Linked DNA regions of Macaca fascicularis. The protein of the gene in region 1 purifies or fractionates together with the protein of each later gene. This does not show direct contact. Links are inferred from orthologs where the notes say so. Each region holds a gene or a part of one and is shown in the gene's direction. Other genes may lie near its edges.

The links.
Region 2: the proteins of MPHOSPH6 (region 1) and EXOSC4 purify together in Homo sapiens (affinity purification with mass spectrometry; 7 studies listed by BioGRID and IntAct, with this or other methods). This does not show direct contact. The link is inferred for Macaca fascicularis from reciprocal best matches to the Homo sapiens genes MPHOSPH6 and EXOSC4.
Region 3: the proteins of MPHOSPH6 (region 1) and EXOSC7 purify together in Homo sapiens (affinity purification with mass spectrometry; 4 studies listed by BioGRID and IntAct, counting the BioPlex papers as one, with this or other methods). This does not show direct contact. The link is inferred for Macaca fascicularis from reciprocal best matches to the Homo sapiens genes MPHOSPH6 and EXOSC7.
Region 4: the proteins of MPHOSPH6 (region 1) and DIS3L purify together in Homo sapiens (affinity purification with mass spectrometry; 3 studies listed by BioGRID and IntAct, with this or other methods). This does not show direct contact. The link is inferred for Macaca fascicularis from reciprocal best matches to the Homo sapiens genes MPHOSPH6 and DIS3L.
Region 5: the proteins of MPHOSPH6 (region 1) and EXOSC1 purify together in Homo sapiens (affinity purification with mass spectrometry; 5 studies listed by BioGRID and IntAct, counting the BioPlex papers as one, with this or other methods). This does not show direct contact. The link is inferred for Macaca fascicularis from reciprocal best matches to the Homo sapiens genes MPHOSPH6 and EXOSC1.
Region 6: the proteins of MPHOSPH6 (region 1) and EXOSC9 purify together in Homo sapiens (affinity purification with mass spectrometry; 5 studies listed by BioGRID and IntAct, with this or other methods). This does not show direct contact. The link is inferred for Macaca fascicularis from reciprocal best matches to the Homo sapiens genes MPHOSPH6 and EXOSC9.
Region 7: the proteins of MPHOSPH6 (region 1) and C1D purify together in Homo sapiens (co-immunoprecipitation; 3 studies listed by BioGRID and IntAct, counting the BioPlex papers as one, with this or other methods). This does not show direct contact. The link is inferred for Macaca fascicularis from reciprocal best matches to the Homo sapiens genes MPHOSPH6 and C1D.

Annotation. Positions count from the first base shown.
Region 1 is NC_088394.1:78,050,902-78,055,335, reverse strand, and holds the start of MPHOSPH6 (M-phase phosphoprotein 6), read left to right. Parts: upstream 1-1,528; 5' UTR 1,529-1,530; coding exon 1,531-1,662; intron 1,663-1,951; exon of another isoform or gene 1,952-2,073; intron 2,074-3,760; exon of another isoform or gene 3,761-3,815; coding exon of another isoform or gene 3,816-3,818; intron 3,819-4,434. UniProt on the Homo sapiens protein: RNA-binding protein that associates with the RNA exosome complex. Involved in the 3'-processing of the 7S pre-RNA to the mature 5.8S rRNA and play a role in recruiting the RNA exosome complex to pre-rRNA; this function may include C1D.
Region 2 is NC_088382.1:153,749,142-153,753,305, forward strand, and holds EXOSC4 (exosome complex component RRP41), read left to right. Parts: upstream 1-1,590; 5' UTR 1,591-1,698; coding exon 1,699-1,869; exon of another isoform or gene 1,870-2,186; intron 2,187-2,900; coding exon 2,901-3,107; intron 3,108-3,198; coding exon 3,199-3,558; 3' UTR 3,559-3,606; downstream 3,607-4,164. UniProt on the Homo sapiens protein: Non-catalytic component of the RNA exosome complex which has 3'->5' exoribonuclease activity and participates in a multitude of cellular RNA processing and degradation events.
Region 3 is NC_088376.1:107,884,883-107,888,786, forward strand, and holds part of EXOSC7 (exosome complex component RRP42), read left to right. Parts: intron 1-2,421; coding exon 2,422-2,523; intron 2,524-2,828; coding exon 2,829-2,923; intron 2,924-3,904. UniProt on the Homo sapiens protein: Non-catalytic component of the RNA exosome complex which has 3'->5' exoribonuclease activity and participates in a multitude of cellular RNA processing and degradation events.
Region 4 is NC_088381.1:42,990,383-42,993,033, forward strand, and holds the end of DIS3L (DIS3-like exonuclease 1), read left to right. Parts: intron 1-132; coding exon 133-278; intron 279-956; coding exon 957-1,131; intron 1,132-1,224; coding exon 1,225-1,533; 3' UTR 1,534-1,972; downstream 1,973-2,651. UniProt on the Homo sapiens protein: Catalytic component of the RNA exosome complex which has 3'->5' exoribonuclease activity and participates in a multitude of cellular RNA processing and degradation events.
Region 5 is NC_088383.1:106,397,095-106,401,688, reverse strand, and holds the start of EXOSC1 (exosome complex component CSL4), read left to right. Parts: upstream 1-1,455; 5' UTR 1,456-1,477; coding exon 1,478-1,508; intron 1,509-1,615; coding exon 1,616-1,731; intron 1,732-4,146; coding exon 4,147-4,221; intron 4,222-4,594. UniProt on the Homo sapiens protein: Non-catalytic component of the RNA exosome complex which has 3'->5' exoribonuclease activity and participates in a multitude of cellular RNA processing and degradation events.
Region 6 is NC_088379.1:126,876,581-126,881,051, forward strand, and holds the start of EXOSC9 (exosome complex component RRP45), read left to right. Parts: upstream 1-1,531; 5' UTR 1,532-1,615; coding exon 1,616-1,681; intron 1,682-2,014; coding exon 2,015-2,109; intron 2,110-2,858; coding exon 2,859-2,978; intron 2,979-3,099; coding exon 3,100-3,202; intron 3,203-4,471. UniProt on the Homo sapiens protein: Non-catalytic component of the RNA exosome complex which has 3'->5' exoribonuclease activity and participates in a multitude of cellular RNA processing and degradation events.
Region 7 is NC_088387.1:53,856,882-53,861,458, forward strand, and holds the start of C1D (nuclear nucleic acid-binding protein C1D), read left to right. Parts: upstream 1-1,701; 5' UTR 1,702-1,849; coding exon 1,850-1,885; exon of another isoform or gene 1,886-2,033; intron 2,034-4,577. UniProt on the Homo sapiens protein: Plays a role in the recruitment of the RNA exosome complex to pre-rRNA to mediate the 3'-5' end processing of the 5.8S rRNA; this function may include MPHOSPH6.

The DNA of each region.
Region 1 (4,434 bases):
AGCCTTAGCACCACCATCTGACAAGGGCCATTCCAGACCACCTTGTCTAAAGTAACCCTAAACGTTACTCTAGGGGTCACAACACTGTTTCCTCTATTTCACGGCAGTCACCACTTACTTATGTCCAGAATATCAGCTTCAGGAAAGATGAGGATAGGTGTTTTTACACGCTATTATACCCCGGCATCTCACACACAGTCACAAGTGAATAAGATTCTGTAGCCACTTAGTACATTACAATGATTTTATTTACTCCTGGGAAAACCTCAAGGGCTTTTAACATCCAAATCGGTGTTTGAATTTCAGCTCTAACATGGATTAGCTGTGTGAATTCCACCAAGTCCCTTACCCGCTCTGTGTCTCAGAATCCCTAACAACACGATGACAATACCTTCTTTCCGGTTCTTATGGAGATTAAGCGAACTAATTACCCATAAGGTGACCAGGTCAAGAATCTGACATAGAATCTATGCTATCAGCTGAAATGCTATTAGCTTGAGGGTGTTCCAAAGCGTCGGACCTGGGAATGATTTTTGAAAACGTGTTTAGTTGGTACCCAGAGCATTAAACACCAGGGTATGAATGCCACTCTATTTTCAGTGGTTTTTAAAATTCTTTTTTGTTTTGTTTTTGAAACAAAGGCTTGCTCTATAGCCCAAGGTGGTGTCCAGTGGTGGGATCTCAGCTCACTGCAGCCTCGACCTCCCGGGTTCCAGTGATTTTCCAGCCTCAGCCTCCCAAGTAATGGAGACCACAGGTCCGTGCCACCACACCCACCTATTTTTTTTTTTTTTTTTTTTGGTAGAGATAGGGTCTCACTATGTTGCCCAGGCTGGTCTTTTCAATTCTTTAGATCAAAACCAAGCCTTCTTCTCATTCAGGTGTCTTTGGCACCCATGCCTGCCTCCATCCCTTGCAGTTTCTTCAGATTCTTCTGTTTAGCAGGGATCACTCGGCCAGACACGCACCGGCAGCAGCCCGGGGATGAAGCCAGCCCGCCTGGGGTGGCCCCCGCCACGCTCCCCGGGACTCAGGGCTGCTGTAAGGAAAGCAGCAACTCGTAGGGTCCTGGTGAAGAGCAAACGACCTGGCCCCTGCACAGGGACCCAGAACACAGGAAGCCCGCCATCCACGTTAGGAAAACAATACACGTGGGTAACCAGACCCAGGCGGGTGGCACGCGTGACGCAAACCTGTGAGGCTGGCGAGGACTACTGAGTCTGAAGGGAGTCTCTGAGGAAGGGAGTCCCTGAGCGAGGATGGGTCCCCGAGGGGGCCAGGCCGACGTCCCGGGAAGGCGGCCCCCGGCTCGGGGAAGCCAGGCTCTGGATCCTCCTCTGACTTTGGCCTTTTTGGGATCTGCCGCGCTCATCCCCGCGCCACCGCGCCGCGCGCTTACCCCAGCCTCTCAGTCACCAGAGCGCCCGCTGAGTGGCCGCGCCGGCGCGCGACACGCAGCGGCGGGGCCGCGGGGCGGAGCGGGGCGGCGCGCTTTACGAGAGCGACGCAGCTGCGAACGCGGCTCCGCGCATGTGCAGTGAGGCTCGCGGCCGGAGTGCGGCGCTGGGCGGAAGCCACCATGGCGGCCGAGCGGAAGACAAAGTTGTCCAAGAATCTGCTGCGCATGAAGGTGCGGGGACACTGAGAGAGCCATGCCGGGCGGTAGGGGCACCCGATCGTTCCGACCTGGCCAGGGCCGAGGCGGCGGGCGAACGAGGGACACCAGAGGGGCCTCAGAGGGCTTCCAGCTCTCGTGCTCATTCATTCACTTAGCGCCTGGTCTGCACTGTTTACTGGGAACCGGGTTACGAATTAGGCCGACTCTCAGGAGGCCCACGGGTGGATGGGAGCTCGCATACACAGGAGCAAGCAGTCAGGGTACAGCTTACCAAGTGCAGTGAGGGTAGAAGCGCCGGAGCCCTGGGAACTCACCCAGCTTCTCGCGGGGTAGTGGTCCCTTTAGGTTCCTGGGAGGGTGGGAGGCACAGCGTCCTAAACTAGGAGAAACCTGAGTTCAGAAGTCCACGAGGCAAGAAAGAAAAAGAAAACCATGGAGATTTCCAAGAATGAGAGGTAATTCAGTATGTCTGGAAGGCAAGTACTAAGAAATGGGGTTGCAGAGTAGGCAGTGGTCACAACGTGCAGGAAATTTGAGGCCAGATTAAGGATATTTTCCTTTATTTTGTGAGCAATGGAAAGCTATTGACACGGGGAACAGTATAAAAAAATAGCAACTATTTATAGTACTAGACAATGTTTTAAGGGGTTTGCGTATATTAACCTGTGCAATTCACATAATGACACTTTGAGGTGACTACAGGCAATAACTCTCTTTTTACAGTTAAGGCAACTGAAACAGAAATAAGTAACTTACTCAAAGTCGCACAGCTAATAAGTAGTGTAGACAGGACGGGAACTCAGGCAGTCTTGCTCCAGAACCCTGGCTCTGTGTTACTTACTCTGTGATGCCTGTCACTGAGCACTACTTATAGAGGGTAGCAAACTGTTACATGTCATGTTTAAAGAGGTCGAATTTCCAAAAGAAGGAAGGAAGCGTTCATAATGTTTTGAAAGATTGGAGAGAGAGGCCATTCGCAGTGGTTCATGCCTGTAATCTCAGCACTTTGAGAGGCTGAGGTAGACAAATCGCTTAAGCCCAGGTGTTTTAAGACCAGCCTGGGCAACATGGTGAAACCTCATCTCTACAAAAGATACAAAATATTCGTTGGGCCTTGTGGCACGCACCTGTAGTCCCAGCTATTTGGGAGGCTGAAGTGGGAGGATCACTTGAGCCTGGGAGATCGAGGCTGCAGAGAGCTGAGATGGTGCCACTGCACTCCAGCCTGGGTGACAGAGGGAGACCCTGTCTCAAAAAAAAAAGAGAGTAAACATTACATGGGCAAGATTTGAATGGAGTTGAGCTAGGATGGAATTAGGAATGAATGGGTGAATGAGGATGCAGGACAAATTACATCTAACTTAGAGTTTGTCAAGCACTTTCATGCATATTAGGAAAATTTGAATCTTTACTGAACAGAGTTTGCTTTTGATTTTATGATTTGTAATAACATTAATTTCAGAGAAGTGGAGTGAACTGACCAAGCAGATATTGAAAAGATTTTAGCAGTTGTTTTAGCTCTTGGAATAAGCCAGATGATGTACTGGGTGACTCAGGCTCAAACTAAATATCTGAGTTGCAACTAAGAAGGAAGAAATTAACTTAAAACAAGTGTCCACTCCCACCAAATGGGGAGACGCAACTGGACATTGGAAGCAAAGGAGAAGGAAAAAGATCACCCAGATTCTGTATTTGGTTTAGCAGTTTTGGTCATTGATGAGAAAAAACTTACTGGCAAGATAGCAGGAGACACTATCTATACTGATAGAAAAGAGTATACTGTGAGAAGGCATGGAACAGCTGCACTTAGGGTGCCTTAACCAGAGCTAAGTCCTATATAACATGGGTCCCCAACCACTAGGCCACGGAGCAGCACCAGTCCATGACCTGTTAGGAACGGGCTGCTCAACAGGAGGCGAGCAGCAGGCAGCAAGCGAGTGAAGCTTCATCTATATTTACAGCTGCTCCCCATAGCTTGCATTACCACCTGAGCTCCGCCTCCTGCCAGATCAGTGGCAGAATCCTAGATTCTCCTAGGATCAAAAACCCTACCGTGAACTGCACCTATGAAGGATCTACCTTGAGCTCTACTTATGAGAATCTAATACCTGATGATCTGTCGTTGTCTCCCATCACACACAGATGAGACTGTCTAGTTTCAGGAAAACAAGCTCAGGGCTTCCACTGATTCTACATTATGGTGAGTTGTATAATTATTTCGTTACATATTATAATAATAGAAACAAAGTGCGCAATAAATGTAATGCACTTGAATCATCCCTAAACCATCTACCCCTCCCCTCTCCACCACCCATGGAAAAATTGTCTTCCAGGAAACCCATCCCTGGGGACCACTTTTTAGGGCAAGTATGAGAGGGTTGAGGATTTAATCCTGACTCACTTGAAGGCCTCTGACTTGGTCAGCCATTGCAGGATGATCCCGATGGGAAGCAGAAAAAGAAAGATGTGGATGGAAGGTCTTCCAGTATGGAATGGTTGTAGAAAGGGTGCTTATTTGTGATTTTAGTACTGTTAGACTTTTAGAACAGGGCTTGGCAAGCTTTCTGTAAAAGACCATATAATAAATATTTTGGGCTTATGAGCCAGACAGTCTCTGTTACAACTACTCAGCTCTGCCAGTGTTGTTTGGGACAGGATGACCATGGCTGTATCAACAACAACGGACATCTAGCCTGAGGACCATATTGTGCTGTTGCCTGCTGTGAGTCCCCACTGGTTTTGGAGTGTGTTCTGAAATGCCCTAGAGTAGGAGAATCGAACTTCTACCTAAGTCTGGAGGTGCTTGATTCATATTC
Region 2 (4,164 bases), on another chromosome or scaffold:
CTGAGATCGTGCCTCTGCACTCCAGCCTGGGTGACAGTGAGACTCCGTCTCCAAAAAAAAAAAAAAAAAAAAAAAACCAAAAACCTTCCCCAGGCATAGTGGCAGGTGCCTGTAATCCCAGCTTCCCAGCTACTTGGGAGGCTGAGATACAAGAATCACTTGGACCCAGGAGGTGGAGGGAGCAGTGCGCTGATACTGTGCCACAGCACTCCAGCCTGGGTGACAGAGTGAGACTCCATCTCAAAAAAACAAAACAAACAAAATGACCCAGTAAGAACAGGGACAGGAAGAGCTCAGACTGCAAGGGGAGAAGGGCCTGGGCTGCTCCACAGTACGCAGTGTCTGGCTGCAGAGCCAAGGGTGGGGAATCGGTGGTGGCCAGTGGCAGAGGATAGTGGCCTATCATGGCCTCATACCAGCTGCAGCAGCAGGGCTGTGGCTTGCTCACTCATTCTCATGCCTCTCAGTCTTTCAGGAGAGCATAACCACCTCTAAGGGGATGCTGAACTTGGGCCCCTGCAGCAGACTGCATTTCCCCAGCCCACCTGCTGTTCCTACAGTCTAATATTGACACTCCTCTCACTGAAGGGTGGGGTCCCTGTCCCCATCCCTTAAGCCTGGGTAGATGTGTCTGACTGCCTTGACCCACAGAGTCTGGCAGGAGGGACACTATGTGACTTCTGAGGCTAGGTTCTAAAAATATCATGCACATGTTGTCCATCTCATTGTCCTGGAAGGCTACCCTTGGAACCCAGCTGCCATATTGCAAGGAAGCATGGAGAAGCCACAGGTAGGTGTGCTGCCTGACAGCCACAGATGAGGTCCTGGCCAGCCACCAGCATCAGCCACCAAAGATGTGAAAGAGAAAGCTTTAGGATGGCTCCAGCCCCAGCCACCATCTGGCAGCAACTGTAGGAGAGAGCCTACGTGCAAACTACCTAGCTGAGCCTAGATAACCCAAGACTGCAGGACATAATAATAGAATGATTGCTATTTGAAGCCGCTGAGGTTAAGTGGCAAGAGATAAACAGACACACAACCCCTCTCTGGAAAGGATGAGGAAATCTGCAACCTCAAAAGGAAAAGGGAGGCCCACTCGACTGCAGTGTGGAAGCCCGGTGTAAAGGGAGGGCATGAGAGGACTGGAGAGGTGCCAGGTGTGGACCATCCTGGGACACCAGCCTGGTCACTTTTCTAGCACCGCTCTATGCCTTCTCCTGTCAGTGTCGCAACCCACTGGGTTCATCCTTCCACTTCCACACTTGGGGCGCGGGGAAGGGCTGAATGTAGGCACCACTGGTCCCGAGGGCGTGACGGGAATTTCTCCTTCGGCGGGCGCCCACCTCCTGGCACCCGGGACACAGCTCCGGGAACGGCTGCGGGCTCAACCGCTGCTTCCCCGACAGCGCCACCGCAGTTCCCCGGAGACAGAAGTGAAGCCGAACCGCCAGAAACCGTAGATCCAGGGAGGTCGGTGCCGCGAGGAACTCCAGTTCTCCGGGACCGGAAGTGACAGCGGACCGCCGGAAACCGTAGATCCAGGGAGGTCGGGACCGCGGGGAGCTGTAGCTCCCCGGAACCGGAAGTGATAGCGGACCGCCGGAAACCGTAGATTTGGGGAGGTCGGAGCCGCAGGGCGCTGTAGTTCTCCCGCGAATCAGAGAACTAGGCAGAGAGCGGAGCTGGCGGCCGGGCAGCATGGCGGGGCTGGAGCTCTTGTCGGACCAGGGCTACCGGGTGGACGGTCGGCGCGCCGGGGAGCTGCGCAAGATCCAGGCTCGGATGGGCGTGTTCGCGCAGGCTGACGGCTCGGCCTACATCGAGCAGGGCAACACCAAGGCGCTGGCGGTGGTCTACGGCCCGCACGAGGCGAGTGGGCGTGCGGGATGGGAATCGCGTGACCGCGGGATCTGCGGGGCAGCCGGGCTGAGCACAGGTTCGGGGACTTGAGAGGTGCGGCCGGCGCGCCTCAGTCTACACAGCCGATGCTCAGCACTGCATCTCACTCGGAGTAAACGCAAGTCTTTAGTGTGCTGCGCGGTGGTCCTGCCTTTCTCATCGGTCTCTGTGCCTGCGCTCTCCCTCCTCTTTGCGGCTCTTCAACGTGCCAGGCACTCCCCCACTCGCTCCCTCTCCTCTCAGCTCTACTCCGACGTCACTCCTTCTCAGACGGCTTTATCCATGCGGTACTTCTCTCCCTACAATAAACCCTTGTCTTTTGTGCATCTACAATCTCAAATGCCTATTTTGCTTAAGCATTTTCCCGTTTCCTCGCTAGAACATAAGCTTCCTAAGGACAGAAACTACATAAAACTCTCTGGTTTCATTGCTGTGTTTCCAGCGCTGTAACTGTGCCTGGCCAGTGAAGGTATTGAAAGAGTGTTTGTTTAGCGCATGAGGGTAGGAGCTCTGCTTTCCAGGCGGAGGGAACCAGGAGGGCGAAGACCACGGTGGTGAAAACAAGCAAGGCACTCATGCATAACAGAAAGACTGCTGGTGGGGAAAGAGGGGATAACTCTAAATAAGGTTGAGAGTTCCCGGGGAGGTGAGGAATTAGGGTTTTGTAGACCAGGGAAATGATTTGGGATTTTATTTCATATGTAATGTGAAACCTTTGTAAGGTAATTAGGATTTGAGTGTGAAGGTGAGACAGAATCAGCCTTGATGTTTGTAAACTTGGGTTGGCAGGGAATGGGGCAAGGATGGGCACAAGGAAGCCAATTAAAAGATGCCAGAGGGCAACACATGCAAGACAGTGCAAAACAGGGGGCTTTGTTTTGGAGGTAATGTAGTTGCCCCTTGCTGAGGCATTGAAAGTGGAGGGAGAGGCAGACCCACAGAGGACAGTGGCGTGTGAGCTGGAAGGAGTGGGCCTGGCTCATGTGTCCGTCCTCTTCCAGATCCGGGGTTCCCGGGCTCGAGCCCTGCCGGACAGGGCCCTAGTGAACTGTCAATATAGTTCAGCGACCTTCAGCACAGGTGAGCGCAAGCGACGGCCACATGGGGACCGGAAGTCCTGTGAGATGGGCCTGCAGCTCCGCCAGACTTTCGAGGCAGCCATCCTTACACAGCTGCACCCACGTTCCCAGATTGATATCTATGTGCAGGTGAGCCGGCTGCAGTGTCAATCCAGGGAGGGGTGGGTGTGATGGGGTTGGGGAGAGAGTCTGATAGACTCACACCCTGGGGTCCCTGCAGGTGCTACAGGCAGATGGTGGGACCTATGCAGCTTGTGTGAATGCGGCCACACTGGCAGTGCTGGATGCTGGGATACCCATGAGAGACTTTGTGTGTGCGTGCTCAGCTGGCTTTGTGGACGGCACAGCCCTGGCGGACCTCAGCCATGTGGAGGAAGCAGCTGGTGGCCCCCAGCTGGCCCTGGCCCTGCTGCCAGCCTCAGGACAGATTGCGCTGCTTGAGATGGATGCCCGGCTGCACGAGGACCACCTGGAGCGGGTGTTGGAGGCTGCTGCCCAGGCTGCTCGAGATGTGCACACCCTCTTGGACAGAGTGGTCAGGCAGCATGTGCGTGAGGCCTCTATCTTGCTGGGGGACTGACCACCCAGCCACCCATGTCCAGAATAAAACCCTCCTCTGCCCACACAACCCTCACTGTACGTTAATCACCCAATAGCACTTCAGAGCCATGTGAAGCCTGGCAGAGCCTGGTCTGGTGCTGGCTCCTGGGGATGACCAGGGCCCCTCGCCCACACATGAACTGCCTATCTCTGTGTAGCCTAATTCAAACCCTGAAAAGAACAGTGGATTAGGGGGTTGCTGTGGGGGAGGTCCTGGGTGGAAAAAGCAACATGTCCCAGTAAGGACTCAAGGCAGCTGAGCAGGAGGCAGGGCCTGGCAAGATGAGCAGGTCATTGGACTGAGGAATCTGTTACCCTTACTCTGGCACATCCGGGGCCCTGAGCAAAGGGCTGAGGGAGAACTCAGCTGGCTCTGAGTACCCAACCTAGAGATGTGGGGGCCATGTCCCATGGCCTCTGGACTATGGCCTGGAGCCCCTTGGGCTTTTCCTGCTGCTTACCTTGGGCTCTAAAAAATGCAACAGCCAGGCATGGTGGCTCACACCTGTAATCCCAGAACTTTGAGAGGCTGAGGCAGGCGGATTGCTTCAGGTCAGGAATTTGAGACCATCCTGGCCAACATGGT
Region 3 (3,904 bases), on another chromosome or scaffold:
TTATTTTCTGTCATTGAAAAGTTACACGGGTGAAAGACCTGAAGCAAGTATGGCAGAGGGTGATCATTGGTATGTGTGGTGCTGCAGTGTTTTGCTTTTCTCTGTTTAATTTCTCAAAAAAGTCAGTAACATATGCAGTTAGCCAGGCAGTTTAAAGATAAACTGTTTAAAGATAAACTGTCAGCCACATACTTTAGAGCAGTGTTTTGTTTTATTTTTTATGTTTCTGGGAAGCATCAACTCCTTGGAGAATCTGATTAAACTAACGATTCTTTTTCTGAAAAAAACTGCTTTTGAAAAATGTTTACAAAGAATGAGAAGGAGCTCCATGAGCCAACGTGGAAAGATTTCCTGCATATATATATATATATATAGTTAAGTGTTAAAAAAAAAAAAAGTAAGAGTATCTATAGTATTCCACCTTTCATATAAGAAACAAGGGGATATTTAAAAATTCATGTATTTGCTTATTTGTGCAGAGAAAATACAAGAAAGATAAACCAGAAACTAAAGAGAAACCTGGGGTGAATGGGAAGAAAGGGGCATGAAAATAGCATAATACAGAGAAGAGGAGAGTGACATTTCTCTGAGCATACTTTTCTGAGTTTTGTCTCTTAGAACTATAGTGATAGCTCACAAACCCAGAAAGTAAGTAAGTAAAAGTAACCAGGATATAGGGGAACCCAAAATGGAATACAAAAATTTGCAAATGAAAAATAGCCAGGCATGGTGGTGCGCCTGTAATCCCAGCTACTTCAGAGGCTGAGGCAGGAGAATCGTTTGAACGCAGGTGGCGGAGGTTGCGGTGAGCCCTGCCATACTGCACTCCAGCCTGGGTGACAGAGCCATAGTCTAAAAAAAAAGTTACAAGTTACAAATGAGTCTGTGTTACAAGTGAATAATGTAACCACACTGAAGGGCATGTGGAAGAAAAGAACTCAAGTAACTGGAAAACAGTATTTTGGCTGAATACTATGAGGCTAAAGACAGAACTTTATACAAATGCTGTGCGCTGTTAGTAAATTTGTTTCTCACAGGGGTATGGATTAGAAGTTTGGAAACTATGTGTATGCTGAGATTGAACAAATATAGAAATGCATGGTAGATAATAAGAACCGGGTTTCTCCTTCTTTGAGAAAGAAGTTACAAATAAGAAAAGGAGGAAGGCTAGAATGAACCATGTGATGTTAGATTGGAATTAGCTATCAGTATGAACTTATGGCTTTTTAATAGATACGTAGATAGATACAGAATTACACGTAGATTTGGGGGGGTGGCGGGGGGGGGTGGTTAGTATACATACCTGTATTTTTTAGCTCTGTCTGCTAAGAAGTTCTGAAAGAAATAATATTCCAACAGCAATGAACTTAGAGCCTAGATCCTGGTTTTCAGTACCATTCCCCAATAAAAGCAACCAGGGCTTCTTGGAGAAAGGCTTGATCCCTAGGGCTGGACAGAGAAAACACAAGAGGATAGATATCTTGTGTTGCAGAAAGTATATAATTACTCACAAAAAGTTGGCAGCATGTTGAAAGAACACAAAAACTAACCCAAAGAAGCCCCCAGTGGCCGAATTTGGAACACTTTGAGCAGCAAAATAACTAATGATAGTAGTGGATTATAACCATAGCATAAAAGATACCAATGAGTTGTACTGATATAAGTAATTGAAGGAGCAAATAAATGGGCAGAAGGAACATAGACCTCCCTGAAAACCATCTTGTGCCAAAAGAGTCAGCAAACTTCCTGTAAAGGATTGGATAGTAAAGATTTGGGGCGTTATGGATCATCTCTCCGGCCCAACCACTCAGCTCTGCTTTTGTAGTGCAGAAGCAATCATAGACAATACCTAAACAAGTGGACATGGCTGTGTTCCAGTAAAACTACAAAAACAAGGTCCCTTAGTTTGTTGACCCTGTTCTAGAGACTGCCTCTTTAGAAGATTAGGTGTCTTTCCCTGTTTACACAGTAGATCTTGTTGAATTTTAGGGGTAGGAGGGCTTCAGTTGAGATGATTGTACCCTGTAGCTCTGACACATACACTACTTGGTGCAATTTAAGAATTGCAGATTTGGGGAGAGGTGGCTTATTTTGTCTCTTGTTCAGATCTTGTTTTTGTGTACATATTCTGTATAGTGGTATGTAGTGTAGATTTTGCAATCAGACACAACTGGCATGGAAAACTAGCTTTGTCTTCACTAGCTGTAGGACCTTGGACAAGTCGCTCAACTTCTCTGAGTTTCTATTTCCTCATATGTAAAATAGTAATGTGGTTAGCTACAAGGACAGAATTTTAGATGATCCACTAAGAGGAAAAGATATTCTGCATATATCTTCTCTAGGGGGAAAATGAGTGAGTCAGTTTAGGAGTCTAAATTGGTCTGGGGTGACAGCTATAGGATTGTGGTTGTTAACACCTAGGAAGACCTCCGCGTGGATGGCCGTGGCTGTGAGGACTACCGATGTGTTGAAGTGGAAACCGATGTGGTGTCCAACACCAGTGGGTCCGCCAGGGTCAAGCTGGTGAGTACTGTGACCATGGTTGAAGCCCAAGTGGAGAAATGAGTAGACACTAAGGAATGAGCTGCTGATGCCATCTGGCTTTTGGAATGCAGATTGCTTTTGGGGAAATCAAAGATCCAAGCCAAACTCAGGGAGGAGGTGTCTCCATATCTGAAAGACTGCTCACCTCCTCCAAAGACCACTTTCCAAGTCTTAGCACTGCTCCTAAAAGAGTCCCCCAGGGGTGTATGTCCAGAAGAGGAGGGAGGTGGTGGAGCGCCTGGCTGCCTACTCTGAGTGAGGACCCTTCTTGCATGTGTCTGCAGGGTCACACAGACATCTTGGTGGGCGTGAAAGCAGAAATGGGGACGCCGAAGCTGGAGAAACCAAATGAAGGCTACTTGGAGTTCTTTGTTGACTGGTCAGTACTATGCAGATATTTCTAAAGAAAAAATTCTAAAGAAAAATGATTTTAAAAATGAAGATTCAGAAAATGAACCTCTAGTTTCCTGTTGAACCCACTTTTATACTTATCATTCAGCCATCCAGCCGGCATTTGCTGACCTCCTCCTATGTGCCAGGTACATAGTCAGGACTCTTGGCTTGAGTCCTGCCCTAGTCTTAACCACCTGGCTATTGCTGGCCTTGTTTTCCCTGTCCAGTAAAGGAGGACATCTGCCAGGCAGCCTAGCGCATGATTGTGATGAGGGTCAAATGAAATGATTGTGTTATGGTGCTTTGAAAAATATCATACACAGTAAGGATCATTTGGTCTAAAATGTACTATTTCTCTTCCTATTCTAGTTCTGCAGAAAACTGTTCATGATTTGCTTGACAGATGAAGCCTAGGGTCAGCCAAGCAGCCTGACAGGTTGAGGAAGTGGCAGCTAGGCAGGCAGTATGGGTACTGAGAAGAGAGAGGGCTCTGTAGTGTCTGCAGCCAGCCTTGGGCCAGAATGTCACTTCCTTCTCTGGCCAGCTTTGTGATCTCAGGCTGGTTACTCAGTCTCACTGTGGCCAAATTTCTTTATCTAAAAAATGAGGATAATAAAGAGGAAATGAATAGAGTGAGTACTTAGCACAGTGACTGAGACTCCCAGTGGGCTTTCAATAAGTATTATTTTTCCTTATTTTGTCAGTAAGTTCAATAAGTATCATTAGCTCCACGTTCTAGGGGTTGGGGCTTTTTATTGGGTTGCTGGCCAGGTCCCGTCTTCTATCAGTTACCTTGCTTCTGGAAGTCAGGCCTTCTTGAAGTGGGTAAGGATCTCTGTGGGCTCATGCTGGGTGTAGGTATATAATGTTGACCCTGTATCAAGATCCCCGAGACCACCTCCACATTCAGAGATTTGCTGGACTTAGCATATAGTGATACTCACAGCTAAGGTTTATTATAGCAGTG
Region 4 (2,651 bases), on another chromosome or scaffold:
TTAATTTCATAATAGAGAACAATTTTTATGTTAATAGTTTTACAGAATCTCACATTTGAATGAATATGAATTTCATTTCTTCGGGGAATGCCAGGGGAGTGTTATAATACCTTGGAGTTGTGCTTCTTACAGGCAGCACAGCATTCTCAGAAGCAGTCTACTGAGCTCTTCCAGTGCATGTACTTCAAAGACAAAGACCCTGCCACCGAGGAGCGTTGCATATCTGATGGAGTTATTTATTCAATTCGAACAAATGGTGTGCTTGTATTTATACCCAGGTATGTTACATCTAATGCAATGGTGCATAACAAATCATCGGTAAAAGTGTAGAACACAAACTGTACATAGATACAATTTATTAAGATATTTAAGCAACTAGTTATATGTACATAATGTAACATATGATTCAGTATATAAATGTGAAGATTGGAGGCCAGGGGTGGCTCACGCCTATAATCCCAGCACTTTGGGAGGCCAAGGTGGGCAGATCACCTGAGGTCAGGAGTTCGAGACCAGCCTGGCCAACATGGTGAAACCCCGTCTCTACTAAAAGTACAAAAATTAGCTGGGCGTGGTGACGCGTGCCTGAAATCCCAGCTACCTGGGAGGCTGAGGCAGGAGAATCACTTGAACCCGGGAGGCAGAGGTTGCAGTGAGCCAAGATCGTGCCATTGCACTCCAGCCTGGGTGACAGAGCAAGACTCTGTCTCAAAAAAAATAAAGTGAAGATTGGAATGTGTGTATATATATACACATCTATGTCCATTTTAGGGTCTTTCTTATCTAACAAAATACTTTGTTTCCATCTGCTAAGGTGAAATAAATACTTGGAGGTAAACCACAGGAAAAGTAATTTGTTTTTAATCTAGGAGAAAAACTAGTATTCTAGATAAGCATACAAGATCTGTGTACTAAGAATACATTGTCTCTGGATTTATATTCTGGTCATAATATAGGTTTGGGATTAAAGGTGCTGCTTATCTAAAAAATAAAGATGGTTTAGTCATCTCATCTGGCCCAGATAGCCGTTCTGCATGGAAACCAGGATCCCTTCAACGATTTCAAAACAAAATTACCTCTACTACAACAGATGGGGAATCTGTTACGTTCCATTTGTTTGACCATGTAACCGTAAGTCTGTGTTTCTATTAAGTACTATTAATATTTAAAATGTAAGGAACAAATAATGTGATTTAGTAATATGTATTTTCTTCTCTATGCTAGGTAAGAATATCCGTACAGGCCTCACGTTGCCATTCTGATACAATCAGACTTGAAATAATTAGTAACAAACCATACAAGATACCAAATACAGAACTTATTCATCAGAGCTCCCCTTTGCTGAAGAGTGAGTTAGTGAAAGAAGTAACTAAATCTATGGAAGAAGCTCAGCTTGCCCAAGAGGTCAAAGTAAACATCATTCAGGAAGAATATCAAGAATATTGCCAAACAAAGGGAAGGAGCCTATACACACTTCTAGAGGAGATACGGGACCTAGCTCTCCTGGATGTTTCAAACAATTATGGAATATGAAAGGCTCTTACTTCACTAAGAGCTGTCATATGTGAATGTTTTACAGTCTTTTCAAACTTAACATTTAATGTGTGTCACTCAGTGCTCTAGTTGATCAGGACTGGGTAACTATTTCACATATATGTAAAATGTTCTCAGCCGGGCATGGTGGCTCATGCCTGTAGTCCCAGCTACTTGGGAGGTGGAAGCAGGAGAACTGCCTGAACCCAGGAGGAAGAGGTTGCAGTGAACTGAGATCACACCACTGCATTCCAGCCTGGGCAGCAGAGCAAGACTCCATCTCAAAAAAAAGTTATCTCATTCATTGAAGTTGCATTAAATAAAGTATAATTAGGTCACTATGGAAACTGAGTTTTCAGTAATGAGTGGACAGTAAGTGGTGGCTCTGCAGATTGCTAGCCCCTTTCTAATAGTTTAATAAACCCAAAATTATTGGTTATCTTGTCTCCAATCAGTTCTTTCAAATGTTTTATTTTTCCAGTAATTACATTTGGATCATAGGCCCCTCTGACATCTGTCAGGTAATTTTCAGTCACTTTCAGATAATAAGACTTAGTCCTGAGTCCACCTCTCTGCTTAAAACTCCTATTTCATATTTGACTCAGTCCTTCCCTGCTGTCTCCAATACTAGTTGGGAATAGGACACAGGGCAGGTGGTAAGGTGCAGGTAAAGTTCTGTCACAGGCCTCCCTTCCCACCCTCCCACTTTGATGAGGTGCATTGGCCTTCCCCTTGTTGAAAACTCGTTACTTTGCCAGCAAACACCCCACTAGAAAAATTAACTCTTGGCCAAGCATGGCGGCTCACACCTATAATCCCAGCACTTTGGGAGGCCGAGATGGGTGGATCACAACATCAGGAGATCGAGACCATCCTGGCCAACATGGTGAAACCCCATCTCTACTAAAAATACAAAATAGCCTTGTTTGGTGGCAGGCGCCTGTAATCCCAGCTACTCGGGAGGCTGAGGCAGAGAATTGCTTGAACCTGGGAGGCGGAGGTTGCAGTGAGCCAAGATCGCGCCACTGCTGTCCAGCCTGGGTGACAGAGTAAGTCTCTGTCTCAAAAAGAAAAAGAAAAATTAACCCTTCTTTCTCAGTAGTATAGTTTGTGAGGGT
Region 5 (4,594 bases), on another chromosome or scaffold:
CCAGACAGGAGGAGATTGCAGGCCACAGCACTTCCCTCTTCCAATGGCTCTAAGTCACCATCTGTTTCCCAAGGGGAAAGTCGACTGAGGGGACAGGGAGGGACAGGCGGCAAAGCCATCAGAAGTCAGGTGAACTGAGATCAAAGTCGTGGGCAATGTCATCTGGACAAGGACGCTGCTCTCGGGATGTTTGCAATCTCAAGTAGGAGATACCAGACATCAATAAAGAGTAGCATTTTATTCACGTGCAGACCTCCCTTCTGGGGTAACACGCTGAGAAGAAAAAGTAGCAACTTTATTTTGGGGCTGCTTATCTTTTGATGACGGGCCCACACAACCAGAGTTCGGCTTTTTCAACCTGAGAAAGCTTACTTAAGTGGGGATGGGAGGCCGCGAAGGGGATCGGACCGCAGGACTGGAAGCTACAGTTAAAAAACCGGGAAAAGGCCGGGCGCGGTGGCTCACTTTGGGAGGAATCACCTGTAATTCCTGCACTTTGGGAGGCTGAGGCGGGCGGCTCAAGAGATCGAGACCATCCTGGCCAACATAGTGAAACCCCGTCTCTACTGAAAATACAAAAATTAGCTGGGCGTGATGGCGCGCGCCTGTAGTCCCAGCTGCGCGGGAGGCTGAGGCAGGAGAATCGCTTGATGCCAGGAGGCGGAGGTTGCAGTGCGCAGAGATCGCGCCACTGCACTCCAGCCTGGCCAAAGAGCGAGACTCCTTTTCAAAAACAAAACAAAACAAAAACCGGGAAAAGGTTTTATTTCTCAATGACAGCCGCGAGGTGAAACTGCGATGGACTGGAAGTCAAAAATCGCGGGTTCCAGTTTGGGCTCTATCTTGAAGATTTTGGACAAGTCAAACCCGGTCTCTGAATCTGAGGTTCCACATCTGTGAAACAGACGAGTTGGGTCGCTTGACCTCCTTCCTTCCTGCTCTGAACGTAACGGTTGCTCGCAAGGTGCGCTCCGGCTGAGGAGGGCGCAGCCCCGCAGGGCAGGGCGAGGAGAGAGCAGGAACCCGGACTCAAGACAAGGCCCCAGGGCATTGCCCGACCCAGAAAAAGGGACTAGGATGGGGAGCAAGGGCCGAGGCTTCGCCCTTACCTGCCGCCTGCCGACTCCCCAGTCAGCCAAACCGAGCCCCGCAGCCTCTGCCGCCGCTCACTGCCACCGCCTCCGACTCGGCGCCCCGGCCGGGCCCGGCTCAATCCAAACCACCATGGCCCGCCGCCTGCAGTGCCACCCAGCGGACCCGGACCTGCCGCCAGCCCATCCTCAACCACACGCGCAGGCGCAAGCATGGAGCGCTGAAGTTCCGCCCCCGGATTTGTCCCGGGGTAACCTGGGAAATGGAGTTTACACGCAAGGATAAAGAACACCAATTGACGCGTATCTTACTGCGGAACTGTGCCTGGGTTTGGCCAATGAGAAATCGATTTCGTTTTCATCCGGGTTTTGGGACAGCGGCAATCATGGCACCACCTGTGAGATACTGTATTCCCGGTAAGTGAGCGCTTCCCGTACAGAGTCCTGGATAGGGGCCGAAGCAAGAAGCCTGGACGGCCTGCAGTTTCTGGGGGCCCATGACCGATGCAGCATTTTTTCTGCAGGCGAACGTCTGTGTAACTTGGAGGAGGGCAGCCCGGGCAGCGGCACCTACACCCGCCACGGCTACATCTTTTCGTCGCTTGCCGGCTGCCTGATGAAGAGCAGCGAGAACGGCGCGGTAAAGGAAGCGGCATGCCGTCTCCTCTCTCTCTGTTTTTCCCTTAGGCTGCCCTTGAGTTCCAGTCCTTAGGCATGGGCACTGCGGACGCGTCTTTAGAGCCTTAGTGGTACAATGTTGGTCTCTTAGTTTCTTCTAGCCGTATCGCCGCTGTTGTGCACTTAGCCACCACACACTAGTTGTGTTGATCTCGCTTGGTTGTGCTGCTGACCCTCGGGGAGGGAGGTTGGGACAAAAGCAGATGCGAACTCAGTAACCCAGCCCAGCTCAGCCCAGCAGTGCGTTGTATACTGTATGAATGTTGCTTACCTCTCCGGCTTTATCTAGTGCCACTATCTCCACCTCACTGACGCAATCTAATCATACAGTCTTTTCTATTTGTAAAAGTTATAATCACAGTTTTGGCTTGCCCTTTTAAAAAAATTTGTAACACACTAGCTTCTTTCAGTGTCGGTAATGTGCCAAGCTTTCTCCTGCTACAGAGCCTTTGTAACATGCCATCTATCTGGAACGCTTCTGTCTTCTTAGGCCTGTTTAATTCCTACCTCCGTTAGTTTCTGTATTATCACCTCAGAGAAGCCCTTCTGGACCCACTAATTGAGGAAAGGAGTTTTGTGGGATGTTTTGTTTTTGTTTGTTTTGTTAAAGACTTACAAAAAACTCTGTCCCTTTTCTTCCAAGCACTTATGTCAGCATATGATTAGACACTCAGGTATGTTTCCCACTAGACTTCTCCCTTGCTTAAATCTAAGTTCCACGAAGTGCAGGTGCTACCACCATACCATCAGTATCTAGCACAAAGCAGCTCCTCAATAAATGTTTGTTGAATGCGTAATACCTACCTTTCTAGTTTTAGAGATTGATCCAGGATTAGCTCAGGATCATATAAGCAATATTTGAAGGAGCACAGTAGAAAGAGGATTCAGAATTAGAACCGTTAGGTTCTGGCTAACTTGACCTCGATTCTGCTTTGAGTAAGTAACTTAAGCCGTCTGACTCAAGGGGCTTTCTATTCAGTCATTGTTGGGAATGTCCTTAACAGTCCTGAGTTTGTTCATTTGATAGATACCACTTGAGTATTTTCATGTGTCAGGCACAGCGCTGACTTGGTTTCTGCTATCAAAGGACACAGACACAAATTGTAAACAAATAAATGCTCAAATAAGCATATGGTTACACATGTGGTGGCTGCTTTGAAAGAATATTACAGGGCACCTTAAGAACATGTAACAGGCAAATCCATCCTAGTCAGCAGAAGTGACATTGAAGCTGAATCATCTAAAGAGTAGGTTAGAGTCAGGTGGGTGGAGAGAGTGCAATTCTGGCAAAAAGAATAGGTTGAAGAGAGATCTGAAAGTGGGAAGAATTTAGTAAGTTGGGGAAACTGAAAGAAGGCCAGGAGAGCTGAAGCATTGTAAGCAACGGAGAGATTGTTAAAAGATGAGGCTCAAAATATCTGTCTCATACTAACAGCCAATACCATGCTCAAAGAGAAAACTCTGCAAGTATTCACTTAAAACAAGTGTAGCTACTATTTGTAACATTTCTGTGGAAATTTCAGCCTGTGCAGTAAAATAAGAAACAGAAAGAAGCAGTATAACTTTGGAGGAAAGAATAAAATTGTCAGCCAGATGTAGTGGCTCACGCCTGTAATCCCAGCACTTTGGGAAGCCAAGGTGGGTTGATCACCTGAGGTCAGGTGTTCGAGACCAGTCTGACCAACATGGTGAAACCCCATCTCTACTAAAAATACAAAAAATTACCCGAGCATGGTGGCAGGCGTCTGTAATCCCAACTACTCGGGAGGCTGAGGCAGGAGAATCACTTGAACCCAGGAGGTGGAGGTTGCAGTGAACCGAGATGGCGCCATTGCACTCCACTCTGGGCAACAAGAGTGAAACTCCATCTCAAAAAAAAAACCAAAAAAAGTAAAATTGTCAATGATTATAGGCAATATAGTTGTATACCAAGAAATTCTGAGAGAATCACCAGAAAACTTATTGGAAGTTTAGGGATTTACTACAAAAAAAATTAGCCGGGCGTGGTGGCAGGTGCCTGTAGTCTCAGCTACTTGGGAGGCTGAGGCTGGAGAATGGCATGAACCCGGGAGGTGGAGCTTGCAGTGAGCCGAGAATATGCCACTGCACTCCAGCCTGGGCAACAGAGCAAGACTCCATCTCCAACGACAACAACAAAAAAAGAAGTTTAGAGGTTTACATCTTCTAGCAGCATTCTGTAGCCCCCTGGTCCTCCTATTTCCTAAAATTTCTAAGGCCTTCTGCTCTGGCCTATAAATGAATGCATACTCCAGCTCTCACCTGTGTACCAAGACATTCCTATATTACTCTCAAGACACAAATGCTTTGACCCAAGAGTTAGCCAGGACATTTCAGTTTTTTCTTTTTCCCTCCGTAGCTTCCTGTGGTGTCTGTAGTAAGAGAAACAGAGTCCCAGTTACTGCCAGATGTCGGAGCTATTGTAACCTGTAAGGTAAGTTTGTCCTAACTTCCATGCTTAGAATGCCCATTCAGTGCTGAAATCATGACCATGCCAGAACTGCAGTGTCCAGTATGATAGCCACAAGCTACATAAATGTATTTCTGGCGGGGCACAATGGCTCACACTGGTAATTCTTACACTTTAAGAGGCCAAGGCAGGCTGGGCGCAGTGGCTCACGCCTATAATCCCAGTGCTTTGGGAGGCCAAGGGGGACTGATCACAAGGTCAGGAGATTGAGACCATCCTGGCTAACACGGTGAAACCCCGTCTCTACTAAAAATACAAAAAAAATGAGCAGGGCATGGTGGCGGGTACCTGTAGTCCCAGCTATGTGGGAGGCTGAGGCAGGAGAATGGCGTGAACC
Region 6 (4,471 bases), on another chromosome or scaffold:
TGAAACTGTATAATAAAAATGAACTTATGTTGTTAAAGAACTTAAGTGGTTAGTACCCTGTAATCCCCTTGCCGATTTTGAAAATTAATCATTTCTGTCCACTTTCCTCCTTCTTCACAATTTCTGTCTCCAGACCATGTGGAGCTCATCCCATTTCAGTTTTTGCATATGTTACTCTTTCTGCTTGAAACACTTTTCCTCTCCAGATGGCATCAAGGGTGCTCCTGCTCAACACCAAAGATTTACTTTACTTAAATGTCAGCTCTACAAAGTCACCTGTTCCTGCAACTACCCCTATTAAGATAGCATTCCTATTCTCAGAGAGCACTTACCATTGTGTGAAATTGTTCTATTTGTTTAGGGTTTTTTTGTCTTTCCAAAAAGAATGTAAATTCCTTGAGAGAAAGGATCTTGTCTACCCTGTTTCTCCAGCACTTAAATTATTCTTGGACAGAGTAGGCCCTCTTCAAGTATTTATTGAGTACATGGATTGCAAGTGGTACAAAGTGAGACTAAAATGTATCACTGGTAGAAATAACGTGTGAGAAGCTACCAAAGAAGCCAGAGACTGCGTAGGAGTTACAGTGCCTACCACCTCTAAAGCAAAAGGAAACAAAATAATAATATGCAAACACTTAAATAGTGCTTACTCCATGCCAGGCACCGTTCTAAACATTTTATGTATCTATTCACTCATTTTATTCCTCATAATAAATAGGTTTCTCACTCCCCGCCGCCCTCTTTTTTTTTTTTTTGCAGGTGAGTAATGTGAAGCACACAGGTTAATTTGCCCAGGGTTATAGTAGTTAACGACAGACTTAAAATTTGAACCCTGGCAGTGAACACTTTTTAAAAGTACTATTTGATACTGCCTCTCCAAAAAAGCTGATTGGTTGGCAGCATGGCCCAGCTAAGGTTTCTCTGTGACCATAAAAATAAGTCTATCGACTTAAAATAACTGGAGAGGGGATGAGAAATAAACGGTACATTTAGTTTCAGCCCACAGAAGTAGTAACATCATTGGTTATTACGTGCGAAAGTTCTCCATTCTCATCAACTTCTCAGATCCCACAAAATTTCACCTTTGGCCACAAAAACATCCCATTTCACCATCTTAACTTTCTCCCGCAACCCTTATGCCGCCTCATTCCAGTGTTTGTTCATTTAATATGCTCCAAATCCTGCATCTGCGGCTTTCTAGGGGCCAATGTCAACTCATCTGTGAAATTGCAGTAGTATCTCTCTAGTCTCCACCCCGCAAGAGGACTGAGCGAACGGTGAAGTGTGAGAGCGGTCTACTGATATTAATTTCTACCACTCTGATGGTTATTTTGAGTATCCTTTTCTCCTCCGCATTTTATGAGAAAAGAAACGCAATTTCACGTTCAGAAACGCCCTCCCTAAGCCGCACTGGCTTCTTGCTGACCGCTGGCCCGCCCCAATCACGCTTTGAGTCTGCGCAGTAGCGACTGCCCAAGCCCTTGCCTATTTCCTGCCGCCGCGTTTTGATGACGAAATTTTCCTGCGCCTCGGGACCGGCAGCGGCGCGTAAGGAAAAGTCAGTTTCCGTTTTTCCCGCGGATTCTGGTGCCTGTGGGGCCGGTGACCCAATACCATGAAGGAAACGCCACTCTCAAACTGCGAACGCCGCTTCCTACTCCGTGCCATCGAAGAAAAGAAGGTATGGTTTGGTCCCCGCAGAACTGCGCGCTGCATGGGCGCCCGGGTCTCAAGGTGTGGACTCATACCTGGCCCGCCTGGGCCGGGGGAGCCATTAGGGGAACGACCGGCACGTTCACCCCATTCCCCAGGCTTTATTTTTTTTCGACAGGTTCTTTTCAAGTCTCTAGTCACCCCAGCAGTTGTCCGTGCTGTAGTTTCCACTTTCTTGTATGGGCGGGGTGGTTAGGATTCCACTTTCCCCCAAGTGCTTAGCCCAGGGCCAGACAAAAAGTAGTTGCTTAAGACATACTTGTTGAAGGAATAAATGAATGAATGAATTTGTGCTTAACAGCGGCTGGATGGCAGACAAACCTATGATTATAGGAACATCAGGATCTCATTTGGAACAGATTACGGATGCTGCATTGTGGAACTTGGCAAAACAAGGTAACAGGATTTAAATGAGATAACACATTGAAAAGGGAGAAGTTTGAAAAAAGACCTTATTGACTCGGTTGTTTATAAAGCAGCTAAGAAGTCTGCACAGTATTCTTTGTTTAGCTGACAAAAATAAGTATTTTTTATGCAAGATTTTTTGATTTTGTGGTCACACTTGAACTTTTTAATCATAAACGTATTTTCTGTCACCTATCACATAGTTCTGACTTCTGTAAATCGTGTAGACAACCAGTAGTGCTCATATCGAATTTGTTTCTCACACTAATACAGAGATCTTGAGCATCTTGTCATTAAGTGTACATCCTGATTTCCTGTTTTTCGAGTGACATGAAAGTTAGGTTTTCAAATATTCATTTGAAAGTTGTAAGGCTATTTGGTCAGTTAATGGTGGTGAACTGTGGCATGTGAAAACACTTAAATCTCAAGTTTTCATGCCATCTTGTATCAATAAATACTTGCTTTAGAAGTAAAGGTCATTGATTTTTTAGAACAATCTGTGGAATAGTAAACATTGTAATAAGAAGAGAGATGTTTTTTCTGTCGTGTTTTTAGTTGCACCAATTTATGTTTTATTTCTGTGTATATTATACTTTACATATATTTTTTACTTTCTATGATTTATCTGGCTTACTATGATATTACTCACATTAAGATTGAAACTTGTGATCTGTTTCAGATTTTTTTTTTTTTTGGAAGGAGAGTCTATTTAGTTAATACTTTGTACTTTATCTTTGCAGAGTTCTTGGACAGGTTTCCTGTGAACTTGTGTCTCCAAAACTCAATAGGGCAACAGAAGGTATTCTTTTTTTTAACCTTGAACTCTCTCAGATGGCTGCTCCAGCTTTCGAACCTGGCAGGTATTTAAATCTTTTTCTTAAGCTGCTTTAGTCATAGGAGAACCTAACAGCAATGAGCTTTTGTTTTAATACCTGGTGTTATATTTCATGACAGTAGTCCATTCCTATTTTCTTATTATAGGCAGTCAGATCTCTTGGTGAAGTTGAATCGACTCTTGGAAAGATGTCTAAGAAATTCGAAGTGTATAGACACTGAATCTCTCTGTGTTGTTGCTGGTGAAAAGGTGGGGAATATGCCCATAATTCTTAATCTTAGGATGAATACTGTTGATTCATGGATCCCGGTGTCTGAGCTTTTATTCTCAGAACTTTAGTCAACTCAAGTTTTGTACTGATTCACTTCACTTCAGATGTTCTTGAGTGATACCCTTAGAACTTTGTGCCACCTCTATCTCTCTGAAGGGATAAAAAGCATTATTCTAAAAGGGTGAAAATAGCAACTTAGATTTTTGTGTAAAAATATTTTATTCAAAGAATTTGTGGCTTTTTCATATAATCTCATTTTCTTATCTGCATGTGTTCATAGAAGCAGGTAGTTTTCCTTTTTCATGCAGAACTCAAGAACAGAAGAAATCCTTCATTTGGATAGGTTTATCGAGTTACACAGGGCCACACCATGTCAGTGGCAGGGATAATTTTGAAAATCTTAGTCCCAATAAATTGTGCTGCATTAGGATATTAGAATTTTATTCTTTTTTTTTTTTTTTTTGAGACAGAGTCTCACTCTGTTGCCCAGACTGGAGTGCAGTGGTATAATCTCAGCTCACTGCATCCTCTGCCTCCCCTGTTCAAGCAATTCTCCCACTCAGCTTTCTGAGCAGCTGGAACTACAGGCGTCTGCCACCACACCCGGCTAATTTTTGTATTTTTAGTAGAGACAGAGTTTCACCATCAGACTGGTCTTGAACTCCAGACCTCAAGTGATCCACCCACCTTGGCCTCCCAAAGTGCTGGGATTATAGGCGTGAGCTACTGTGCCTGGCCAGAATTTGATTCTTGATTAGGGTATTTTGACAAGCATTTTTATTCCAGAGAAGTCATTTAGCTTTCCATATTCCATACCTAAGTATAATACTTCCTATTTGCATTACTTGTAAAGTTACTAAAAATATCACAAAACCTAAAAGGTTAACGTTTTTTAATTTTTGAAAATATTCATTATTTTCTGTTAGGGACAGTGACACTTTCATCCAGGCAGGAGTGCAGTGGTGTTATTATAGCTCACTGTAACCTTAAACTCCTGGGCTCAAGGGATCCTCTCTCCTTAGCCTCCCGAATAGCTAGGACTACAGGCGCATGCCACTCCACCCAGCTAACTAAAAAACTTTTTTTTTTTCGTAGAGATAGGGTCTTGCTGTGTTGCCCAGGCTGGTCTCGAACTCCTAGGCTCAAGCAATTCTCCCATCTTCGCCTCCCAAAGTGCTGGGATTACAGGTGAATGCCACTGTGCCTGACCTAGAGTTTGTGGTTTTTAACAGACATGATAAAAATGT
Region 7 (4,577 bases), on another chromosome or scaffold:
ATGAATTGTTAGTTGGCCCCTACAGAGAGGTGTCTCCAGTTAGGCTACTCAGGGGTCAGGGACCCACTTGAGGAGGCAGTCTGTCCGTTCTCAGATCTCAAACTCCGCGCTGGGAGAAGCAGTACTCTCTTCAAAGCTGTCAGATAGGGACGTTTAAGTCTGCAGAAGTTTCTGCTGTCTTTTTTTCAGTTATGCCCCACCCCCAGAGGTGGAGTCTACAGAGGCAGGCAAGCTTCCTTGAGCTGCGGTGGGCTCCACCCAGTTCCAGCTTCCCAGCCACTTTGTTTACCTACTCAAGCCACAGTAATGGCAGATGTCCCTCCCTGAGCCTCGCTGCTGCCTTGCAGTTCGATCTCAGACTGCTGTGCTAGCAGTGAGCAAGGCTCTGTGGGTGTGGGACCCTCCGATCCTGGCACGGGATATAATCTCCTGGTGTGCCGTTTGCTAAGACCGCTGGAAAAATGCAGTATTAGGGTGGGAGTGTACTGATTTTCCAGTTATGGTCTATCACGGTTTCCCTTTGCCAGGAAAGGGAATTCCCGGACCCCTTGTGCTTCCCAGGTGAGGTCATGCCCCGCCCTGCTCTGTGGGCTCCACCCACTGTCTGAGAAGCCCTAGTGAGATGAACTTGGTACCTCAGTTGGAAATGCAGAAATCACCTGTCTTCTGCCTCACTCACACTGGGAGCTGCAGATTGGAGCTGTTCCTATTCGGCCATCTTGTGACCTCCCCCAAACTTTAAATATTACATACATGGTGCTTGTTCAAAATGCTTTTACATGCATTTAATATATGGACAACTCAGGCATAAATTTTTATCAAATTACGATCATGGAATGACAAGTTACAAATGTTAAGACAATGCTCAATCGCTTATACTAAACTTTCAACGAACAATATGTACAGTTTCTGTTAATGCCTTTATTTTCTATTATGTTTCTTCTGATTGCATACGTTGAAATGCAATTTTACATTTACTGAAACTAATAATAAAAAATTTGGGCTTGTATTTTGCACATATTTTCCCCATTTTTCTACTAATTCATTTTTACTGTATTATAGAAGTATCTTTTACTGACAGATTGGAAAAACAACCCATTCTTCCCCACGGATAATCTGGGAAGCTGCTCTAAGACGCTGATCTTGAGGCAGACAATAAAAGCGTAGTAACAGTGAGGGCCCTGGAAAAGCTCCCGGGAAAGTAAAAATACAAAGTTTCAGTAACTAAGATTTCTTTCCTGGTTAAATACACTCAACCTGTATTTGGGCTGAGTGTTGGCCGGGTACAAATGTAGACAAAGGTTCCCAGAGTGCCGCCCCAATCCTCTCCCACAACATGGCCCCGAGCTACTCATTTTGAGATTTGCCTTTAGAGAAGAGCGAAGGAGCGGGGGCGTGGCGAGCAGCGTGAGATCATCGGAAAGCGCCCCTCGGCGCGGGCACAGCCGGCGCGTCATTGTCGTCATCGTTGCCCGACCGCTTTCCGGAGACTGTAGTCGAAGGCCCTGAGGTATTTTTCAAAGTTGTACTTTCAGTTTTTCTCCTCCTCCTGTTTAACTCCGCTTTTCCTCTCCTGGGATTCCCCTGTAATCCTCTGGGCAGACTGAGAGAATGGGAGTTTGGCTGCATAGCCTTCCAGGAATGCAGTGTCTCACAGCTCTTCGCTGGGGCAGCATTGCTGCAGGTCCCCCACTTCCGCTTGTTTTGGGGCTGCTTGCAGGCTTTGGCTTACCCCGGCCCCTCATTTCTCTCTCTTGCTCCGGTCTTTCTCTTTTTCTTCGTTTGTTAACCACCCCCTTCTCAACTCTTGGAAGACGAAAAAATTAAAAACAACAACAACAAAAAAAACATGACTTCACAATTTTCAGCTGTCTTCAAATCTTGCGTAAGGAGAGAGGCTAAAGTGGGACGTCTAGGGGAGTCACTTTACTGTGTTAGCTCCGTTTATCATTCACATTCACAGACTGCCTGCCGCTGCAGTATTAGCCCGTCTGAGATAGTGGGCTAATTTCGACCTTTAGCTGAAATCTGTGGTGGGTAATCCAAGAGAGCAGTTTTTCTTGATGACCCGGGAAAGTTCAGTGTAACTAAAACTTGCTTGAAAATACCTTTAATGTCTTCATGTTTGCTGAATACAATTCAGTTTTGGCTTGATACAGACGTATTTGTCGCAATGAGATGTCTGCTATCCACTTATTAACCCATTGGTACTGTCTGATGGTAGACAGAACCAAGACTTAACCGTGATTTTTAAAAAAATTAAATTTAAAATTTTTGTGGTTACATAGTAGGTGTATATATTTATGGGGTACACGAGATGTTTTGATACAGGCAGGCAATGTGTAATAATCACATGGAAAATGGGGCATCCATCCCTTCAGGCACTTACCCTTTGTGTTACAAACAATCCAATTATACTTTTAGTTATTTAACCCTGTATTTTTGATTCAAAATTAACAGATTAGCCCTGTCGAAGTACAGAGAAGTATTTGCGTTTAGTGGAAATGATAGAACTCATTGTTTTGTTGAAAGATAATGATAAGTGTGAATAATGGTTTTTCAAAATAAAACAAAATTCTCAGTCAAAAGATACTACAGCTGCCTTCAGTTAGCTGTGTTGTATGTATCACAGTTCAGAAGTAATGCAATTTTTTTTCTTAACTGCTTTTACCTTTCCAAATGGCTCTTCATATGTATTATCTCAGCTACTGTTTCCAAACAGTTGACCCTTCAAGCATAGCTCTACATAGTCCACAATGGATTAGAGTATTTGATAACTTTCACTTTTGGTAAAATACTATCTAATGTATTGAGGGCTGAGCCAGGCCCTGTTCTGATGGCTTTTATCTATATTATTTATTTAATCTATGCAGCAACCCCATATACTGTTATTTAAGAAATGAGGTGATTGTAATAAGCCACTTCCATATGTTTTGGAAGGTAATTTTGCTGCTTGATTGCTGTAATTTTGGAAATGCTTTGAATTAAACACTGAATAGAAGTAAATTTAATCTAATGTAGTTATTCATCTCAATCTTGAGCAATATCCTCATAATTTATATACTCCTCTATTATTAGACTTCTGGATACATTTATTTTTAGATGTTAATATCTTTTTTAGAAAAGGAAGAAGTCTGTATGTACTCAGGAATTGTACTGTGAGACTGAAGGAGAGTCACAGACAATACTAACATGGAGTCACTGTTTGCCCAAGACAGCAATATTTATTGAGAACTTGTGTGTACATTTCATTGTTATTTTCTCCTGAGATAATGCAGTGCAAAAAAGCCATTCCAGTAATTCATTACGAGTGATAGAATTCTGGTGCAGCAACAGCAAGTGGCTCTCAAGTTCCAAAACACAATCATGTTGGATTTATTCTCAAGCTTAGTTCATAACTGTGTATAATTATTTGGTGTAGAGATGGGAAGAGCCCCAGAACGTACATGATCATATGTTTGTTTGGATCCATGTGGTGACTTTCTATTATCTGTAAGCTCAAACTGTAATCTGATATTAAGAGTTTCCAAAATTAGGTCTTAGGTTACTTTGGTTGGTTTTAGTTAGTTAACAAATAGTTGCTAAATACCTAATACATGACAAGACATTATGTTAGTGATGTGTTCAAAATGTACCTCGACATGAATCTTACCTTGAGGAATAGCCCAGTGAGTAAATAACCAATGGAAAGGTAAGAGCAGAGGAGTGACATGATCTGACTTAGGTTTATTTTATTTTACTTTATGTTTTATTTTGTTTTACTTTACTTTATTGTCTGTTCTTTTGTTTTCTTTTGTTTCCTTTCCTGCCCTGCCCTGCCCCGCCCCGCCCCACCCCACCTCACCCCACCCACTTCTTTTCTTTCGGAGTCTGGCTCTGTTGCCCAGGCTGGAGTGCAGTGGTGCAATCTCAGCTCACTGCAACCTCCGCCTCCTGGGTTCCAACGATTCTCCTGCCTCAGCCTCCTAAGTAGCTGGGATTACAGGCACGTGTCACCACGCCCGGCTAATTTTTTTTGTATTTTTAGTAGAAATGGGGTTTCACCATGTTGGCCAGGCTGGTCTTGAACTTCTGACCTCAGGTGATCTGCCTGTCTTGGCCTCCCAAAGTGCTGGGATTACAGGCGTCAGCCACTGCGCCTGGCCTGACTTAGGTTTTAATAGAATCTTCTGTGGCTTCTGTGTTAAGAATAGTTTGTTGTGGGGTGGGGTACGTGAAAACCATGAGACTAATCATGGAGGTGTTGTAGTTCAGATGAGATGATAACATCTTAATTGGAAAGAAGTGAAGATGGAGAAGCAGTTTAATTTTAGATGTATTTTCTAGGAAAAGCCAATAGAATTGCTTACAGATTGAAAGTGAATTGTAAGAATAAGGTTATTGTCAAAGTTTGGGGCTTGAGCAACTAGAAGAATGAAATTGCCGTTAACTGAGAAATAGAAAACTGTGGGAGGGGCAGGTTTGTGGGAAGATTCGGAGTTCAGTTAAGGAGGTGATAAGTTTGTAATGTCTGTTAGTCATCTAAGCGGAGATGTTGAGTAGGCAGTTAAGTATGTTCATTCCGGACTTCAGAGTGG